2 linked regions of the Saccharomyces cerevisiae S288C genome follow. The protein of the gene in region 2 interacts with the protein of the main gene of each other region in a pairwise test. Each region holds a gene or a part of one and is shown on either strand. Other genes may lie near its edges.

The links.
Region 1: the proteins of SRB7 (region 2) and MED4 interact in binary tests that used the Saccharomyces cerevisiae proteins (3 or more experiments, as listed by UniProt).

What each region holds. Positions count from the first base shown.
Region 1 is NC_001147.6:656,990-660,101, reverse strand, and holds MED4 (Med4p), read right to left. Parts: upstream 1,356-3,112; coding exon 501-1,355; downstream 1-500. Other genes in the region: ALE1 (lysophospholipid acyltransferase), read left to right, coding at 1-287; DCS2 (5'-(N(7)-methyl 5'-triphosphoguanosine)-(mRNA) diphosphatase), read right to left, coding at 1,777-2,838. UniProt on the Saccharomyces cerevisiae protein: Component of the Mediator complex, a coactivator involved in the regulated transcription of nearly all RNA polymerase II-dependent genes.
Region 2 is NC_001136.10:1,077,513-1,080,255, reverse strand, and holds SRB7 (Srb7p), read left to right. Parts: upstream 1-1,806; coding exon 1,807-2,229; downstream 2,230-2,743. Other genes in the region: GIC2 (Gic2p), read left to right, coding at 57-1,208; PMT7 (putative dolichyl-phosphate-mannose--protein mannosyltransferase), read right to left, coding at 2,403-2,743.

The DNA of each region.
Region 1 (3,112 bases), on a different chromosome or scaffold from region 2:
AACATGAAAAGGGAAAGACAGCAGAAGAAGAAGAAATGAACTTAGGTATTCCACCAATTGAGTTAGAAAAGTGGGACAATGCTAAGGAAGATTGGGAAGATTTCTGCAAAGATTACAAAGAATGGAGAAATAAAAATGGTCTTGAAATAGAAGAGGAAAACCTTTCTAAAGCTTTTGAAAGATTCAAGCAGGAATTTTCTAACGCTGCAAGTGGATCAGGTGAACGTGTGAGAAAAATGAGTTTTAGTGGTTACTCACCAAAGCCTATTTCAAAAAAGGAAGAGTAGATGGCCAAAAACGACAGATGCGTGTGGAAGTCACAGTCTTGTTGTCTTATTTTCCAGTTCCTGTGGGAACTTACTTTCAAATGTTTTTCATACACTTTGACATATTGCAGTAAATTATATATGTAATTTTATATACGCTTTTACCTACACGAATTATTGTCTAACTTTTTTTTTTCTTCATTCCTAACGAGGAAGAGATTCAAGACACTGCAACTAGAAGTCGTCCGGATCAAACAGATCAAGATCAAGATCTAGGGCATCATCATTATTTTCTTCCTTTTCTTTATCTTTGGTATTGTCTGCCTCATCACCAACTTCTTTAGCAGTACCATCAAATATAAACGAGTCTGTCTTTGGTGTACCTTCTTTCTTGGCCATCTGCCCTTTTTGTTCTTCACTTTGAGATGGCGGTACGGTCGGTACTTCTGTTTCTTCTACTTCTTCACCGGGTATTCTAGTTAGCTCTTTACTATGTAATGAGGCCATAGCAAGCATTCCTCTTCGTAGGGCATCCTCTGCGGGCCATATAAAATTGTTGGGTCCCACAGCTCCCTTGTCGAACGTTGGTGGTATTTTGGTAAACTTGGAGAGTTTGGTGGCATAATCCAACAACTCTGTCGAATTGATTTTCGATCTTTGCTGTAAAATTGTGTTTTTCTCGAACTCTACTTGTTCAAGCATCGGTAGTGCTTTTAACTCGTCATGACATTCATTTAGAATTTCCAATATCTTCCTGGTTTTAGAATCTAGTTCTTCAGAGTCTTTGTCAATCTTCTGTAAGTTGCGGTAGATATTGTCATATTCAGCTAACAGTTTGACGTTTTCAAACAAGGCCTCATCAGTTCTGATCAAATCCTTGGCAATATCAAGGTTTGGTTTGAAACGATCTACAGATTCCACCAACTTACTCAATGTATCCTCGTACCGGCACAAATCTTCGTAGAGTTGGACCTTAGATAATTTGTCTTCACTATTCGTGTTTGAAGTAGCCTCTGCTACCAGGGATACAGAGGATGATCTGATGTGACCCATAGAAAACTCTACCGCTTTAGTATCTTGGACAGACATAACATTCGTTGTGTGTACTCTGGAAGTAATTGATACTAGATGCTTTCTCCACCGTTAACAATATACCAGAAAACCTTGTTGAAAACGGGACACGTTATAACTACTTTCCTTCGCGGTATGGTGAGCAGAGAATGCAAAAGTTTATCTTTTTCTCCAGCCTACCTTACGTAGGTGGTAATGCACTATTTTTTCGCATTTCTTTGAAAAGGCTGGCAATACGTCAAAGGCTATGTATGCTATAAGGGAAAGAAAGCTTATACGGAAAATAGCAACTGAATGTACTATGTTACTGTGCATTCGCATTCTATGTTAAAATTCAAAATCCATTGAGATGTATACACAAACATTTAAATAAGACATTTATATAAGCCGGCGCTTCCTGAAGTTCAGCACATGAAAAAATAGTGCTGCTCTTCTACCTTCAACCCAAATTGGTATTGAACCCAGAGCCTTTTTCAGGACTGGTTGCGATACCATCATGCTTCAGTTGCTTTTCAACTTCTTCCTTAAAGCCCTTTTTCCATAAATCATGATTTTCACCAATGACATAAGTAAGCGTCTTCTTCATATAACCTTCAGGACCTAAGAAACCCAACGCTTCTATAACATCTTCCAACAGTATTGTCATTCCGGAGCCTCTCTCCTCGCCTACTCCTGGATGCCTTATATTCACTATATGGACATGAAAATGGTAATATGAAGGTTGATAATGAATGAAAACTCTTAGCTCGTCCGGGTTTACATTATAGTCATAGTGCTGGGGGATGATGGTCTTAATCTTCTTATTGAGTCTAATTAACCAATCTCTATGGTTTGGGTTCAAATCTCTCAAAGATTTGATGTCGTCCCTGTACACGATCGCGACCAGGTATAACGAATCAATGTTGATTCCGTCCCACTTCATATCGGGCAAGATGACGAATCCATCCTCTTTATTCCTGCTACTGTATTCCTTATAAACAACTCTATCATCCTCGGCGCCCTCGTAAAGAATGTTGTTTACCCATTTCATTCTTTCGCTGGTACACATCTCTTGGATAAAGGGCACAACTATGTTTCTATACATATCAGGAGTTTCTCTGACGACATGTAAATCCTGCTGGTCGTATCCCTTGATGTGGAACTGCGAGGCGGGCCAAATTAAGTTAACCTTCGCAGTTGGGTTATGCAAAATATGCTGCTTCAAAACAGACAACCCCCAGTAGTAGATGTCATTCGAAGTTAATTCCTTCAGATCAGTAATACCGTTTAAAAAGGAGTACTCGTCTATTTCACGATGAAAGAAAATCGGAGTGCTACGGCCACTTTGAGAGGGTCTACGTACCGTTTCATCAAATATGAAATGCGTCTTTTCAGCAGTTAACACGGCATCCTTCCCATCTATGCTGCCTAGTAGTGAGATTACCTTTGTATGAGGGTTCGAATCTAACACCCTGACGTATTTAAACCTCCCAATTAAACTAGCTAAATCTTGGGAACCCATCATGTATTTTTTTACTTTTACACGCTCAAATCTTTTCAATTTTGCAATGAAAAGGTACCGACCTAACATATATTTGAAGACCAAACGAAACCCCCGTGCTTCTGTTTCTCTTCTTTCTGCCTTTATACTCATTGGTATTGTCACCCCTTATTTCCCCCCTAGGCGTCTGCGCGGCCGCTGTCATGGGGCTGTCCTTTCGGACTAGCATATAATCACTGACGCTAGCTCTAATCGATCAATAATTAAGTGGAAGTATTTTGTTGAGGTGGGTGAT
Region 2 (2,743 bases):
ACACCTAACACTAACAAAAGGAATACCTGACAGAATACGCTATCAAAAGAACGAATATGACTAGTGCAAGTATTACCAATACTGGAAACGAAACCATGAACCTTCCACAGATGCGGTCGATTTGGCTGGATGAAGATGAAGAAGCTGAAAAACTCTACGGTCTGCAGGCCCAGCAATTCATGGGATCTGATGATGAAGAAAACCTAGGCATTACTTTCATCAACAGCGATAAACCTGTGCTGAGTAACAAGAAAAACATTGAGTTGCCTCCACTTTCACCAAATTCACATCCGTCTTGCCACCACAGGAGAAGTAATTCTAACTCTGCAAAGTCTAAAGAATCATCGTCATCATCGTCCAGCGCCAACAAGACAAATCACAAAAAGGTTTTCCTTAAGCTTAATTTGTTGAAGAAAAAGTTGCTTGGTGCCCAACCGGACATAAGAGGTAAAGGTATCTCCACACCATTTGATTTTCAACATATTTCACATGCTGACACTAGAAATGGATTCCAAGATGAGCAATTGCAGGAACCTTCATCGCTGTCCACAGAGATTAAGGACGACTATACCTCCTCCTCAAGCAAGCGGGATTCGAAATCACTAAATAAAGCTTTTGTCACTGAAAGGATCCCTGCTAATCGTGAAAGCAAACTCATTTCAAGATCGCACGAAAATAAGACATCAAGACTATCAGTCGCGCGTTCGATCTCAGTAACGTCCTCCAATTACTCTAAAAACACACAAGGAAACAATCATTCCATTAATGGGAGAGTCGTATCTACGTCAACTATGGCTACATCTATTTTTGAGTATTCCCCAAACGCATCTCCAAAACAATTTAAAAATAAGTCACACGCTCTGGGTCATAGATACACTAATTCCACGGATTCTAGTGAGTCTTCGCTGGATTTTTTGAAGAACTACAACTTCCCCACACTACTTGAAGATAAGCCTATTTTAGACTTCTTGCCTCGTTCTCAGAGGTCAAGCGCTTATCGTAGCCTTTTAGAGACCCCAAACTCAAATAAGGACTCAGCAAAAGCCTTCTTTCCTTCACGCCAAAGCCCTCTTCCCAAGAGAAGAAACTCTATAGCTACGCCTTCTCCACAATCTAAATTTTCCTACTCTGACTCCCCTGTAAACCATAGAAAATCTTTCGATGATGTTCTTTATTCTTTCAACCAGCTCGAGCCCCTGCAAACTTAAGCTAAGGACAGAAAATGAAAAAAAAAAAAAAAAAAAATTCAAAGAATCAGCTTATAAAACATATTCAAGGACCATCTGAAGTATCATTCATTCGTTTTTTACTCGTTAATCTCATTCATTCGTTTCCTCATTCTTTTTTCTTTGTTCTTTATTTCGGCTATTTTTTCACTATTAAAATAACTAGAGCTAACAATATTATTTCTTCTGCTTTAGTTACAAAACAAGGACATTCATTTAACTTGGCGTTATCCCATACATTCGTTTATTATATCTTCTTTTAAAACACAATTTCTTTTACAGTTAAACTTTTCTGATTTATTATATATTACTTAAGATTGTTCATATAACTAACATTTATATGCTTATATGCGTGAAGTGCGCTTTTGTAGAACATGTGGCTGTTTCTGTAGAAGCCTTGTCTTTCTCTGTAATCCTTTAAAGGCCAACCGTACGTGCTTAATTACAAGCTTTGTTCGCATTGCAAGAAAGTTAGAAAAAAAATCAATTCTGAAAGATAATTATAATTCAAACGGTAAACCATTGGTTAAAAGAGGGACATAACATTTCACTAGTTCAATACATTATATGCTCTTTAACAATGACAGATAGATTAACACAATTGCAGATATGTTTAGACCAAATGACGGAGCAATTCTGTGCTACTTTAAACTACATAGATAAGAACCATGGTTTTGAACGATTGACCGTAAATGAACCTCAGATGTCCGATAAGCATGCCACAGTAGTACCTCCTGAGGAATTTTCTAACACGATAGATGAGCTATCCACGGACATTATACTTAAAACAAGACAGATAAACAAGCTTATTGACTCGTTACCTGGTGTTGACGTTTCAGCTGAAGAGCAATTAAGGAAGATTGATATGTTGCAGAAAAAGCTAGTTGAAGTGGAAGACGAAAAAATTGAGGCCATCAAAAAGAAGGAGAAACTTTTAAGGCACGTTGATTCTTTAATTGAAGATTTTGTAGATGGCATTGCAAACTCAAAAAAGAGCACATAAACTTAAGTTTTACAAAGAAATTTGCGAACAGAGGACAGAAAATGTACTATAGTTATATGGCAGAGTTAAGCGTATGTATGTTATTCTTATAAATAATTGTGCTACTCTATTTGTACCGGAGAATTATTGAAGCAATGGGAGAAAAATCATAATGGAGAAAATCTTTCTACGAGTTACTTTGCAAGGCAATCTAACGATTCTAAAAGACACAATACACTAAAGAAAAAACTTTGGAAGTACAGTTTTTTCCCCAAGTTGAAGTGTGGACTCATTGTGAAGATGTAAAAATGTAAAAACCAACCGACAATGCACTCCCAGCCAAATTCATTGTAGACCTCCCATTTGATAGAAAAGGAAGGTTCAGCAGTTGTCCACGGATTCCAAGATATCATTCTCTTACATTGCACGCACATGAAAATGATCATCGAGAGTAAGGATCCATACCATGCAAAATTAAACCAAACTGGAGAGTCTGTGTCTAACGTAATTGGCCATTTTTCCACGGCGAACGCAT